Linked DNA regions of Lepisosteus oculatus. The protein of the gene in region 2 purifies or fractionates together with the protein of the main gene of each other region. This does not show direct contact. Links are inferred from orthologs where the notes say so. Each region holds a gene or a part of one and is shown on either strand. Other genes may lie near its edges.

Region 1 (7,666 bases), on a different chromosome or scaffold from region 2:
GATATTTTGGTTCATAAAATATTCAAATATCAAAGTGAACACATGTGCCTTTAGATTCATTCTAAATCAATCTGAAGTCTTGTAAGCTGTCTGTAAGTCTGTAAGTTGTAAGTTCTGGTTATTAAGATAATTAGCTCCTTATGTGGGCCATGTAACAGCTGCAAGTCACCATTTTCTCTGTGGCCATCCCGGCATGCTTGATTTTTTATTATCATACAACTTGGGGGAAAGAAGGGACAATGCAATCACAGACAGAGCAGAGATCAAAGCCTTTGCCTGCCTCTGTCTTTTAATCTTCCCTCAATTGATTTCTACTTCACAAACCCTGCTTCATGACAAATGATAACGACTATCATGTCAAAATCATATAAAGCTGTCGACTGCTTTATCTTATCATAAACCAACTATATATTTATTGAATTTAATTTTGTATGCATATAATACTATTCATTTTTACTTACAAAATATTATATCAGCTATATCAGAGAAGATATTTATTTGGTAGCTTTATTTGGAAATTTTATGAAGAGTCTCAGTGGAGAACTTGTGCCACAAGACACGAGCCTGCTCTCATGAGGGGAAGAGAAAACAATTGATGCAGTCTTTGAGAGGAGAGCTGCAAAACAAGCGTATTGACCAGATGATGGCAAAGCCCGAGGTCCTACTGAGCACTGAAGAGAAGAAAAAGGCTAAGAGAAGAGTGATCCAGATAGGACCTGAGGGGAAGAACTCCCTGGCTGTGGATTGGGATATAACCCAGAATAAGAGTAAGAAGAAAATGGTGGATTTGAATGCTGCTTCAAGAGTGCAGTAAGCGGACTAATGTGCTAAAAGAGAAACGTGAGGCCCTGCGGCCTAAACAGCAGCAAGAATACTGAAAACATAGATGGCTGTTTGCTGTCTGTTCTGTACCTTACATTGAGTGTGAGATGAAGTAACTGAAGGGATAAGGGCAACTCTGAGCGGTAACGACAACCTCCAGGAGAGACCAGAAAAAGCCAGGCAAGAGATGACTTCCCTCACCAAACTCCAGACTAGACTGAAGGACAGGGAGCCTGGGATAGAAAGCCTTCAAGCCCAAATCAGACAGGCAACTGCTGGTCTTTGTCAAACAGGTGCATGATCTTGAGACCAAGCTGGAGGATGAGTGGAAGCAGAGAGACATGGCAGCTGTCGCAGGGAAAAAGCTGGAGGGAGACTTCAAAGAAGTCAAGTGTCACATAAAGACTGCAAATCATGATCAGGACAAGGCTATCAAAACAGGTGCACAAGCTCCAGGCCCAGATGAAGGACTTCCAAAGGGAGATGGGAGATGCCCGCATTGTCGGGGAGAAAGTGCTGACCGCAGTCAAGGAGAGCGAGGAGAAGGCCAAGAGCCTAGAGGCTGAGCTAATGCAGTTACAGGAGGACCTGACAGCAGCAGAGCAAGCATGCAAGCAGATTGAGGCTGACAAGTAAAAACAGGCTGGAGAGCTGGCCAGCAACATTTTGGGAAACTCAGCACTGGCAGATGTGAAGTGGCATTTGGAAGCCAAAGCCTCCAATGGAGGAACTGTAAGAGAAGCAGAGCAGCATGGCAAGGAGAAAGGCTGAGCAGCATGCATAACAGCTAAACAATGAGCTGGAAAAGAGGAGGCCCTAAACCTTTTTCACAAAACTAACAACAGAAGCAGGTGTGGTGGGCAAAGATGGATGACTTTCAGAGCCAGATTGAAACGGCCAAATTAGAAAATGAGAAGCCAAGGGTGCAGTTAGCATTAATGCAGCAGCAACTAAGTAAATCATAGCAATAGATGAAGGACAGAGAAGCAGTGGAGATTTGAAGGGAGGTTACAGTCTTACCCGAATCAAGCCAGAGTAGAGCCGAAGACCACTCAGGAGTAACTGATCCAGGAGAGGGAGAGAGTCAAGATACCGCAGGGACATTTACAAGCCACATGAATGAATGGGCAAGTATGAGGAAAAAGACAAGCCTTTTTCAGAGAATTGCCAGTCCAAGACAGAGGGTGTCACCCATTGGACAAAGAAGCTACTAAGTTTCAGAGGTGAGGGAGAAGGAGCTCTCATCACCAGTGCTAGAGATTGATACGGAGGTCTCTTTGGGTGGAACGTTCAGAAGTACATGTAGATGTCCTGTGTCCTGATGATGACTGTGAGAGAACAAGTGAAAGTGGCTTGAACCTGAGGACAGGCAGCCAAATAAAGCAGAAGACGTGGAACTTCCAGATCGTCCAACAGAGAAAGAAACAGAGTTGCTAGAGAACCATAGACCTGCGCTAGAAGAGAGGGAGAGGTCGCCTGACCGACAACTAATTGAAATGGAAGAACAACGGTTGCAACCCCCAATGAAAGGGGTATTGAAGACTTTTGAGTACCCGGATGGGAGAGTACATGTGGAGCTACCAAGAGAGATGGCTGCCTCTTGAAGAACAAGAGCTGGAAAACCATAGGGTACATGATCCAGGGGAAAGAAAGTATGTCCCTCCCACCCTCCCCATTCACTTCAAAATCCAGGGGGATGTAGCCTTGGAATTGGCTGGTAATCTGTCGTCCAATGGCCTTCCTTATGAGGAGGGAGCATATGGGGTCCTCCTGTTGGGACCACATGAGCTGCTGCTCTCCATCACCTAGCCAGTTGCTGAAAAACAATTGGTCAGGTGACTGTTTAAAAAGCACGAAGAAGAAGCTTCCTGGGTCAGTTAGACAGGGATGTCTGCCGTCTGAAGGCCAGAAGGCAGATCCTCTGTGAGCTATTGACAGGAGGGAGAAAGACAGGCCATGGACTCAAGGAACTAGTGAGTTCTAAGAGTATTGTCAACATTCTTTATGAAATGAAATCCTTAAATGGTAAAGAGTCTCAGAGAGACTTTTCTAATTTGGCAATTTTATGAAGAGTCTCAGTGAGACTGTTTTAACATTTTTTTGTTTGAGGCTCTTAAGCAGTTTAACTCCTTGGCTTGGGTAATTAGGGACACTGAGAAGAAGTTTAGAAAGAAGCTCAAAAAAGTGCTTAGGCTTTTGTTTTGTTGTTTTTGATTTTCCCTACATCATGAAATAAAGCTCACTGGTGTCTTGTACCTTACAGCTGTGTCTGTTTGCCTTGACCCACCTGCTTGTTAAGATTCTGTTATGACACCCAACAGCTTGTCGCCAATTTTAATCAATCAATTTAATTAATCAAACAGAAAATATTTTAATCTCAGTTCTGACCTTATCTTTGAACTTGGATTTAAATTTCAGAGGCATACATAGTAATGCTGACAATACACCTGTTAATGCACATTAAAGATAGAACATATCTTTGGCAGATCATAAAAGAGGTCACTTCAATTGGCACTGGCAACATGGTTTAAATAAAAGACTTTTAAAAAGTTTGTACATGTAGTCATAAAGACAACAGCAGGCGTTAAATGTGTATCTTTTATAAAGAATCTGCATGAAATTGCAGACTCAAGTCCCTGTAAGACGAAACCGTGTGTTTTTAATTAGTTTTTGGGTCACTACTTCTACCACAATGCCTACGTAAGAAATGTTTGCAATCTGGTTTACAAGTCTACAAGTTAGGCACCTACAGTATGTTTGACAAAGCAGAGTATTCTGATTACTTGGTCTCAATATCTTGGACTGTAGGCCTTCCCTGGTGAGTCAGAATCGCTCATCTTCTTTTTGGCCAAATAACAAAACGGCTACAGCACAGTGTCAACGGTGTAACTACTACTGCTAAATCAAACAACGTGAATTTAAAGGATACACGCGATCATACAGAACTTTTATAAACGAGGAATAATGGTCTGGTAGAGGACGTCTCTAATGGGAATTTATTCCTTTCACTAAATGGATAATCGCATCCTCTTTACAATTAAGCAGATATGGATGAAGAAGTAATTTCAGCACTTCTGTTTACCAGATACAGACATCGTTTTTTTGCAGCAGTATATTTAATAAATAAGTCAGGTCTAGTTTACTGGTAAAGATTAAGTGATTACTCTTACGGGACTCAAATATTTTGCCAACCTGCGTTTCTAAGTGAATAAAACCGGAGAGCAAATTACATTTTTGAAAGTGTACATTTTAACTGGAAGACCTATCTGACCCCTATCCGTTTTAATGATATACGTTATTAATTCCTTTACTGACTGTTAAGAAAACGTCATTACTTGAGAGGGAATGTTTTTCTTTTACGATTTTGCTGTGCACTTTCACGGTAGAAGCAGTGAAGGAGTAAACAGTGGAACGGGGCTCAGAGAGCTGTACGGTGAATCATGAGGCCAGCTGGGGGAACCATGACCAAGCACAGTGACATGCATGATATAGAGAGAATACGTGCAAAATGCTATGCTTATCTAAGGAAGTAAATTCTCATAAGATATTAGACCTAAGTGCGTAGCCTGCTTAATCAAAAATAAAACAGTAATTCTGAACAATGTACAGCCTACGTTTCCCAGACAGGTTTAACGTTCATGTTGCTTAGCTGTAGCCCGAATTAATATAATGCCTATATCACTTGTCCGCGCCCTAGCACACTGCGCTAGGCGCTCGCAGCCGAGTGTTGACTTGCGGCTCCGCTATGTGTGTTGGCTGGTAAGAGCTGGGCGGGGTGCGGCGTCCTTGCCAGCCAATCAGGGACGCGATTTCCCCCAGCCAAGACAGCCGAAGTTGTGTGCGAGAGACGGCCAGTCTGGAGTAAATCTGAAACACAATGGATGCAGTTCGTTGTTGTTTAACATTCGTAGTCCTGCTCTTAGGGACTGGAGTACAGGAGACCGAAGGTAAGCGAGAGAGGGGGTGTGGTGCTCCTTTTTAAAAATCCTCAATTTGGATATTTCTTTTCTTCGGATTGAGTCTGGCGCGGGGTTCTCATGCCCGCTGTTGCTCTTTTGTTTCAAGACTCGTCTGCCCCGAAAGACTCTTGTCAAAGATGGCGCAGGTCAGAGAGAGCCGCGCTGTCAGGAATGTGTATTGTTAAGAGTGATTTCCTGACAAGGTAGAAAAAAAAATCAGGAGGGAAAGAGATCGAAAAGTCAGTAGCACGCCTGACGGGCCTGAGTAGAAAGCTACACGGCAAAGCGAGATTCACAGTGGCAAATTCATGTGCAGTCCGATGTGGAGTAGCGGTGAATTGATATTCCCTGGTCGGCAAATGTCCTGAGCTGGAGTCGAGTCGCTGTGTTTGTACTTCTCGGCCTTAATGATAATAGGTCTCTCGACACGTCGGACACTGACCCTGTCCACCGATGGGGCACAGCCAAGGCCTTCTCGCTTCCACAGTCCGGCATTTTTTTCTACTTTGATTGCAAGGAAAAACGCACTATTTACGTGTGTACATATTAGCATATGGTAAATGATTGTTTAGAAGCAGGGTTCTTTTTGAGAAATGCATATTTTGACTCTTTGAAATGCAGCTGAACTCATAAACACGTTGCCTGAACCCAGGCTTATTTACAATTGACATGCTACTGGTTAGCTGTTTTCTGTTGTCTTGTAGCTAACTGTGTAGTTGAATGTTTTGTGACAGGAGTTAGGAGATAAAAGAAACGCCTAATCCGTGCCTTTTGAAGTATCGGGTTTCGGGGTGCCTTGTCATTAACGAAATGTAAAATAAACCTTCTTTGTTTACGTTTCACCTTAAACACCTTGACGTAAAAGGTATATTGTTAGCACGAATCGAACTGTGGTTTGAAAGACCTAAAAAAGGACGGGTGTTGCTGTTGTGATATTTCGGTGTCACCAGCGTGTGATGGGAACAGACACAAAGACTTTGATGTTGTCACGACAGGCTTGCCCTGTAAACCACTGTAGTGCTATTGTTATTAATTGTAATAATCTCTGTGAACGAAAGAAACGGGAAAATATAACCTGTAGGCCTGCACGCCTTTTAAGGTGTCGCTCATGGAATAATTGTCTGGAGAAACAAACCACATGTGCTATGTCCCAGATTTTCAAGTGAACAGAAAGCAGTTTTTGTTTTACCGCAAACGTGTGTTTAGACGCGTCGTGCCACTGGTCTTTGATGTGCTTCAGATATGACTCCAGTGGTGGTAAAAAGTTCCTGCTCCCTTTTGATAACAGCTTTGGTTTTAATTGGGGGCTGCTTGCTGTCACCTGTGGTAATGGAAGAGAATTAAAACATTGAGATGCGTTGCGGGATTCTTTCTAATGGAATTGGGGCTTGTGACCGGTGAAACAGGATTTCCTTGCACAGTCGATGCGCGGATGAAATTAAGCTATCAGATTTGCATGACAATGTGCCGAAATCGACGCCCCGAAGCTCATAGCACAGCAGCTGAAGGAATAGTGTACTGAAATGAAATCTGAGCGTTTTAAAACTGTTTTGCAGAAACCAGTTGTGTTGTACAGTGTTTTCTTAGAATTAATTTCTCCAGATTTTTTCGTGTGGAGTTGAGTTATCAAACCTTGTAGTCCGATCCCTATAAATTTATCTCCAGTTTTTGAAGTGTTCAAGAGTAGTGAAGAATTATTTGTTATAACAGGTTGGTGCAGTGTTAAGCCCTATTATTTATGTGGTTTAGACAGACTTTAGGCCATTTTGCTTTTTGAAAACGTTTTTTGAAAATACCCTTAGCTATTACTGAAGAAGTCATTAATTTATCGGTATACATAACTTAACCTGCCTCTGTCCATATCGCCTATATTTGATATGTTGTGCACATACAAGATTTCAAGCCACTGGAGTTCTACAATTTAAGTCTTGTATGGCACCAGGCCTTCAGGTTCTATAGCTGTGTTTGACTATTGAAGAACAATCCCAGTTTGGTGAAATTTGACCAGATTAGACAATATATATTTTTTGTTTTTACCTTATAGCTCTCCTGGACCAGGGTGGGAAGTTCAGGTTCTAAATCACTAGTTACAGTGCAACAGTGGTTATTACCATTTAAGCTCTTTAATTGAGCCAGTTGAATTATTAAAGACATGGATAAACACAGACGTTAACCCAGTGGATCTTCAAGACTAGGACTAGCTACTGTTCTGCTGGAGCTTTGCAAGGATTTACGTAGGACTGTTTCCCAGTTCTCGTTCTGTTTGATGTCATTGACCGAGTACCTTTTCGTTTTTCTTAAAGAGTGGCTAGACGGTTACATACACACTTTGGCAGTGTGTTTATTTGTCTTCCATTTCCAGCTTGCTGGTGTTCAGTAGTGAGAGTAAAACTCGGGTTTCAGTCAAGTTGACATATGATGCTGCTTTAGCAAATAAAGTAATACGTGAGTCATAAGCATCTGTAGACTGTTCTGTTTGCATGAAAATGAAAATAAAAAAATAAAATCTAAATATAGTTAAAAGAGTAATTATTCATGTTCTCATGGAGTTGAGTGGGGAGTGGGGGGGAAGGAAGGTTAAAACCGTTACTGGTTTTGCAAGCTTGTTTTGTACGTGGTAAATACAGTAGCTCAGCCTTTTGGCTAGTAGAATCCAGAGCATTCAAAGATTTGTATGACCCTGAACTGCCTGTTGTCCAAGCTTAAGGAACCAAAACTAATTTGAAAAGTTGTATATATGCCAGTTGTAATTGGATTCAAAGGCATTGATGCATTCAAACAGCCCTGCTTCAGTCAGATTGAGAACTGGGCTGTGAATCTGGCTTGTTAAAGTTAATACACAGTTTAGTTTCCTTGAGGGATTAGATTTTGCTTCACAGCATTCC
Region 2 (7,521 bases):
AGTGCCCATGTGTCAACTGATCTACCGTCAGGATCTCCATCTACACTAGCCAGTCGCACTGTCGAGCAAACGCTCCATCACTGGACCCCTTCAGCTGATCTGTCAGGGGAACGGACCCTCAACCTCAGATCTACAGCGCGCGGCTCGCGTTTCTCGGGACATCTTCTGAATGCACGAAGATAAACGTTCTGGACGGTGTCTTTGACACGGTGGGAGCGGACCGAGCACCGAGCGCCACCCGGCGAGCAGCGCCTCTGTCCCGCAGCGCAGTCCCCACGGCGGCGGCGAAGCCGTACTCACGCGGTGAAGTCGGCCGCAGCAGTGGCCGCCTTGGTGGCTTCTTTGTTCAAGGTGGCCCCCCAGACAGCACCCTTGTGACCCAGAAACGTTCCAATCCAGTCCCCTGTGTCCCCCTGGCGCAACATAGGTTTGCCATCTGGTGGGAGGAGCACAGAACACACACACACAGTTAGGACCGAGCAAAAGGTCAACGCTTCGAGAGCGTGGGAAAGATTCTGCAGACGGCAAAGTGACACGTTTCGCAGGTCACCAGCCGGCCCAGAAAACAGCCTTCCATGCCTCTGCACGAACCTGAAGAGATTAACGGTCTGATTTTGTGTGATGCTCAAATCCCTTGCCCAGGGGAGGCACTGTCAGCTGTTTCCCAAGAAAGTGTAGGATCCTTCAGTGTGGGATATTTCATTTGGAGATGCAGAGCATTTCAGTCGCAAAAAAAAACAACACAAAAACACACAGCTCACCTTTAATAATAATAATAATAATCTAAATCATCCTTAAACCCATATAGCTCTTTTCTGGACACCCCACTCAAAGCGCTTTACAGGCAATGGGGATCTCCTCCTCCACCACCAGTGTGTAGCTCCACCTGCATGATAGAACTGGAGGCAAAGTGAGCCAGTCTGCTCCCCACACACCAGCTCTCAATGGGGAGGAGAGCAGAGTGATGAAGCCAGTTCAGAGATGGGGGTTATTAGGAGGCCACGACGGGTAAAGGCCAGGGGGAACTTTGGCCAGGACACCAGGGTAACACCTCTGCTCTTTTCAAGAAGCACCCCGGGATTTTTAATGACCACAGAGGATCAGGACCTTAGTTTTAGTCTCATCCAAAGGATGGTGCCTTTTGTTTTTTTACAGTAGAGTCCCCATCACTATACTGGGGTGTGTGTATATATATATATTCTTTTTGGAACAGTACGTCAGCATTGAAGTATTTTTACACATACCCCTACATGTATCTAAATACACGTGCTCCCTTCCCAAGGATAGGGAGTGTTGTTCTTGCATAAATGCCATTTACTTCTTTTGTAAAGCGGTCCATTTATTAATACGACAAGCAGAAATTTTAATCTGTAACTGGATGACACAAACAGCAAATTTGCGAGATAAAGTATGGCCAATGTGTGCTTCCTGTTTAAAATGCGTGCCTGAGGAAACCCAGACCCTTAATAGAAAAGGCAACGCAGAAAGGTGTCCCAGGGCCCCTGGAAAGATGTGTGCCAGTTTACAAGACACAAAAAAGAGAAAGAAACAGGACAGAGCACAAACAATTGTATGTGACATTGTCATAATCATGAAGAGAACAATGGCAGCAGGCAACAACTCACCCAACAAGACAAACTGATCACTGTTTGATGAGGGTGCCGATCATGGCTAAAGGCTAAAGAGAGTGACCTAACTTAGAATCTACTGCACTCTGTGATTGAGCAGAATTCAGTGACTGGAGCACACACAAAAAACACAATAATACACATAAATATAATCCACATCAGACTGCGTCAGCACCTGCTTGATGAAGGGAAAGCAACTTCCATAAACCTCTACTCAAATCACATTCCTTCTCTAAATTACACCCCCTTGCAGGTAGTCTTTTAGTCATGCTGTCTCTCCCGAGATCAAGCACAGTCTAACCAACTCAACTCAACATGAAATAATCCAGGTGCCCTGCTACAGTCCACTGTCACTGCAGGGTTTTTACACTTCGCTGCAATGATGTCACATGGTCATTTTTTCTGTCTCTTCACGTTATTCAGAGGACATTCATTTTGGTCAACAGGTACCACGCTTCAAGTTAATTCATTTCTTATACATTCTTATAAAGCCTTAATGTTATATATGTATATATGGACACAAAAAAACACGTGTTGCATGTTAAGAATCTCTTTTAAGAATGTTCCACCTTCACTTTTTAGATTTTTTAAATTATTTTAGTCTCCGGAGCCTTCACCGTCAGGACAGTCGGGATATCAAGTTTCCAACATTTACACATTTAACACCGTGGAAACGAAGATTAAGTTTTTTTTTTTTCATTCAGCGCATACCTGCGCTGATGACTGATAAGAAAAAAAAAGATTCAGGCTGCAGATCGCTCTTGGTTGGACACCGTGAGCGACGCCAATATTATGTCTTAGAGATACCTTACCTTTGCACGCACTTATCAGGAAATATCCATAAGGGGTTATTCCGCTGAAAGCCAAGTCAACCACAGGCCGTGTGTGCCCAGAGCAAGTAAGCGGTGTCTGCCTCATAGCCATAACGCTCCTCGCAAATCAGTCCCGCACCAAGGGCAGGGAGGGAGAGAAAAACTGCACAAATACGGTCAGCGACGGGGGGAGAGAGAGAGAGAGACGAGAAGGAGCAGAAAGGCCTGGTATCTGAAAAAAAAAAAACAATAAAACAAAGCAAATTATTCAACGCCAGTTTGTAGTTTTTGTATGAAACACGCCTCAAGCTGGTGCTGTGTGTCTGTGTGTTTTTGCCCCGAGCGGACACTCACCGGTACGCCGTGCGAGGGCTGCCCAGGGGAGAGGAGTTTGGAGCCGGTAAGGACGGTCGGATCCCGGGACTGGGGTGGGGTGGGGGTGAAAGCGTTCGCCCTGCGGACAACGCTGTGCCGCCGGCTACCGTAGGCGACCGGTGCGGGAGGGGAGCTAGGAACGAAACAGACGGGGAGCAAGAGAAAATTAACAGGATGTGCCAGAGGAGAGAGGGTGACGCATGGCCGCAGCCGCCGGAAGGGAACAGAACAGCCATAACGCTCCGTGTGGAAACGGGGGAGCCGATAGCAGAGGAGCATGAACGCCTCTTCTCGCTCTTTCATTTCAAGTGTTTGATTGTAAAGCGGCTTTTCCAGCTGCATGATTTCACTTTATAGACCCCTAGATCTAGTACATCACTACGGTCAGCGTTCGGCCATGTGGCTGACGTGTTTCAGGTAACAGGTAACGGGGTCTGAAGCCCTCTTCAGGTGTGAGAAAGACATGGTAGACGACAAAGATTAAATAGCACCGGAGAACAAAAGCTGGGAAAGTGGAGGAGGGAGAGGGGAGAGAGATAAGGCAGAGGGGCCACTTAGGAAGTGCAAGTAATTTCTGGATGAGAGTCTTGGATCCAAAAGCTAATAACTACCCAACGAGTTAAATAGGACCCAGTGGCCTCTTCTCGTCTGAAACGTTTTGTGGGAGTTTGAAGGAGAGTGTTGATTAAAGTTTCTCAGACATGTATTTTACCTAGATTTATAGAAAACGTTAAGAAATAGATATATACAAGTATACAGTACAAAGAAAAAATAAACATGCATATCTGAGTTACCTCAAATCATAATCAGCAACATTTTTAATACATAAGAAATATCCATACACACATTTAATTGTGTCATGAAAGTGACTAGATGACCCAGATTGGTTAATAAACGTTATTTTATACAGAGCCTTTGAGAGGAAACTGAATCTCAGAACATGGAATAACTAGGCAATAACTCTGTACAGTACAGGCATTATCACAGCTAGTCAAATACTGCTGTCCTTGTAGAGACATCAAAATATGTAGACAAAACTGTAAAATCTTGCTTGTTGAGATAGCAAAAGCAGGTGCAAAATAAATGAATAAACCTTACACAAGCAACCATGAGGTTATATCTAAACTAGGTGCTAGTTTCTCGTTTCCTGTTGGTTTCTTGACTGTAGAGTGTTTTTTTTGTTTATTATTTAATGCCACTTAACTAGTGGCCCAAAGATGAAGCGTAAAATCTCCTTGCAATGATTTAATTTCAAATCTTACTGCAGCTGCTCTTCATAAAACCCTGCAGAATTTCCTCCCATGGAGCAGGGAAGGAAATATATACAGTGAAAATGGTTAAGAGAGATGTGACAGGGGAGCTAAAGAGATGGAAATCTGGTTGGCAAAGGCCAGGGGAAGTGTGGGAAACTGCAATCAGCAAATAAAGAGATTTAGAAAAACATTAGTTATACATTGAGTGCCGGAAAAAACAGTGTGAAACATCCATCCATCCAATTTCTAGCCAGTTTATCTGATACTGTCATGGGGGAGCCCTGCCCTATTCTGGTAAGCAACAGGTGCAAGGCAGGATACCTCCTGGACAAGATGCCTGTCCATCGCAGGGCCCACACAGATAGAAGCCAGTTAGCCTGGTAATATGTTCTTGGACAGTTGGAGGACATGAACAAAGAGACAATATAAAAACTAAATGCAGACAGCACCCCCTTGAATTGAATTGAACCCAAGGCCCCAAGCACTGTGAGCCACCAATGTTAACCACTGTGGCACCATACCACCTGCAGGAGTGAAACATGTTCAAAAGCTCATCTTGACTTCTGATCTCTTCCTGGTGTAACAGTTTCTAAGTTCTGTGTTGTTGTTTTTTCCTTTTGTCCTTTCTACCCCACCCCTCACCTCATCTCCCTGCTCTCTCATTCAGTTCAACACACACCTGAAGAGTCTCCAGGACCGAAACAGGGGTTTTCTTTCTTTTTACCTTACAGTATAGACTTACGTCTTCTTGTTCCTTTGTAGCTCACACTTCGGCACATTCCCCACTCTAAACCTCTCTGAGATCATGTTGAGCATTTTGTGTATGCATAGAAGAAGATTCCTATTTTTTATTTTAATAATGTAATGCTTTCCAGTTCATCATTGTTATTTAACAGTATTACTCTAACACAAACAAAAAGAAGTGTTTTGAGACTAAAGCCTCTCCTTGTTCACAAAACAGCCAGGCCAGAAATAAGGAACCCCTAAATGAACATACTGTTTGGGCCAAATGAGGTCTCGCTGTCATAAATTCTAACTTGACCATTCAGAGTAAAAATACAGTAGTGTCGCAATGAACACAATCTGTGACTTGTTTAGCAGACCGTTGTCTGTATATAAGATAGCTGTGAGTAACGCCAGACTACTGTATATTCACAATGTTTAAGACAAACATGCTGTTACAAACACTGTGTCTGAAAAGGAACACAATACAAATGGTAGCAAAAAGGCTGTAAGTCACAACTCAGACAGTTTATGTAATAGAAGCTGTGCGTTAGACAGCATTCCTCATTAGCTTCACTGCTTATTTGGTCTCTATAACCTTCAGAATAAATAAACAATTCTAACAATGAATATTACATTTTTATTTGGTTGGTACTTTTTCTGCTTTTAACAGTTTTGTCCTTGGCTCTAATTTAACTACAAAGCACATGCATCTGTATGTATTAGTGCAGTAGGACATGTATATATCTCACTTATCCAGCATCACAGTATCACCACTTAAGCACATTGTGAGAGCTGTTGATGGGGTCTGTTAATTTAGCCAAAAGTTACACTAAGATGCCATAAAGCTGACTTGCTTTAGCAGCCCCAGTGGCTTACAGCTACATAATAAAAGACAGAAACAACACCCACAAACAGGATAAACCAGACCAATATCTGCTGCATATCAAAGGACAGAACCTAGGGCAAGACAAGTAGTAATTACATATCAAAGAAAAGCACAAGCACTCAGATTGTGAAACGAACTTTCTCCTGACTGTATATAAGAGCTGGGAAACCCTTGCAGTTTGTCTGTTCTGCGGGGCACAACCAGCGCACGTTGTGTACTTCTTGCGCTCAATAAAACTGAATCTGCACAAGACTGTGTCCTGCGCCTCTGATGAAGAATTTCGTAACACAGAATTCTAATTTTTGTGCCTTGAAGGCGTGAACATTATAGTTCATTATTGTCATAAAACAGTATTTCACAATGATGCTGCAGCTCAAAAAAAGATTAGTGTTACTGCAGACATGAATCATAGTTTTAACACAGCATCTGTCTAATATGTCTGTATTCACACGGGCAGAACCGGAATTTTGCAAATAAGCACTCGATTTTGTCAGAAGACCATAGTAAAATCACTGCTTGTAACCCACATTCTATAGGTCTACCGTAAAATTATTCTTTAACCTTCAAATCAATTGTCCCTTGGCGATAATACAAACTCTCTCTACCTCAGGATGATCATACCTTGTTTTTTTAACAGAGAGCAAGAGTGGGTGTGAGTGCATGTGATGACGCCGTTTGAAGAAGGGAGCGTCGCACCCGGTTATATCCAGCATGTTCTAGAACTCTCTTCCCATTCTGGAATACTATGTAACTAATAACAACTTCTACGAAGTTGCTCATCAGCCGGTGTTTTTTTTTAACACCTTCTTTCGCATAAAACCAGCACGATGTGTGGTAGCTGATTAATTGCCTGCTAAAATTAGATCTCCTCTTTCCAAAAGGCTGCCGGGGTTTTGAAAGCTCTTGGCTTGGAGCAGCCCAGGTCCCTGCCAATTCAAAGTGTTACACACGACTAGGAAAATAAATGCGGACTGCAGAGCAAATGAGCTTTGGGCCTTATTACTGCGTATCGCCATGCACGGGGGAGTGTTTATTACGTATTCCAATGAAACAAAACTAAAACATAAAAAACAAAAATCCAGCAACTTCACTTGAAATACCCGACGCCGCCCGCACACAGTACACTGCCGGCAGAAAAACGTCACAGTCGCGGCAACCTTGTCACAATGAGGCAACGCCTCACCTGATGCTGTGACTCACCCCGGGACCAGCATGCAACGCGCGCGGGTTGCTTTACGAGGGGTTGGAACGTTCTAAGAAGCAGAACCAGCTGAGGCGATTCTAACTGCGAAGGCACGCGCGGGAGCTCGTCTACAGCCCATTGAAACGTGTCTTTTCTTTGACAGCCGTTAATAAAAGTGAGGGGGAAAAAAAAAACCGTACTCGTGATCATGGCCGACTACATCCACGTCCCTGCGGGAGCCCCAGCAGTCCCCAAATTAGATGTCACAGTAGACGAGCACGATTTCAGAGCTGGAGCCCAGAAACTTATCAAGGAACTGAGACCCCACTGGAAAGAGACAGATGTCAAGATGAAGGTATATTTCTCAATTTCGTACGCGAAATGAAGGATGTGCGCGGGTTTTTTTTTTATTAAGCGAAACCGTGGTTTGGGGGGGGCAGTGACCCGCTGCAGGGTTTTGAAAGGATGCCGGACGTTTTAGAGAAATTCAATGAAAGCCGAGACTGCCGGGGCGACGCCAGCCGCAGATGGGGAAGGGCGGTCGGAGAGGCCTCCGTGTCTGCTGGCGTGCGTGTCCTGGGGGGGGGGCTTTCCCCTAAATTACTGCACTGCACACTGCGCACACTGCACACTGCACGGGGGGGTGCAGCCTCCTTCG

The links. Proteins that work in one complex are often made in the same cells at the same time.
Region 1: the proteins of strap (region 2) and tgfbr1b purify together in Homo sapiens (affinity purification with western blotting; 3 studies listed by BioGRID and IntAct, with this or other methods). This does not show direct contact. The link is inferred for Lepisosteus oculatus from reciprocal best matches to the Homo sapiens genes STRAP and TGFBR1.

Annotation. Positions count from the first base shown.
Region 1 is NC_090701.1:24,416,533-24,424,198, reverse strand, and holds the start of tgfbr1b (TGF-beta receptor type-1b), read left to right. Parts: upstream 1-4,644; 5' UTR 4,645-4,699; coding exon 4,700-4,769; intron 4,770-7,666. UniProt on the Homo sapiens protein: Transmembrane serine/threonine kinase forming with the TGF-beta type II serine/threonine kinase receptor, TGFBR2, the non-promiscuous receptor for the TGF-beta cytokines TGFB1, TGFB2 and TGFB3.
Region 2 is NC_090702.1:51,134,188-51,141,708, forward strand, and holds the start of strap (serine-threonine kinase receptor-associated protein), read right to left. Parts: upstream 3,024-7,521; 5' UTR 2,795-3,023; intron 2,673-2,794; 5' UTR 2,553-2,672; coding exon 2,441-2,552; intron 437-2,440; coding exon 301-436; intron 1-300. Other genes in the region: etnk1 (ethanolamine kinase 1), read left to right, coding at 7,072-7,218. UniProt on the Homo sapiens protein: The SMN complex catalyzes the assembly of small nuclear ribonucleoproteins (snRNPs), the building blocks of the spliceosome, and thereby plays an important role in the splicing of cellular pre-mRNAs.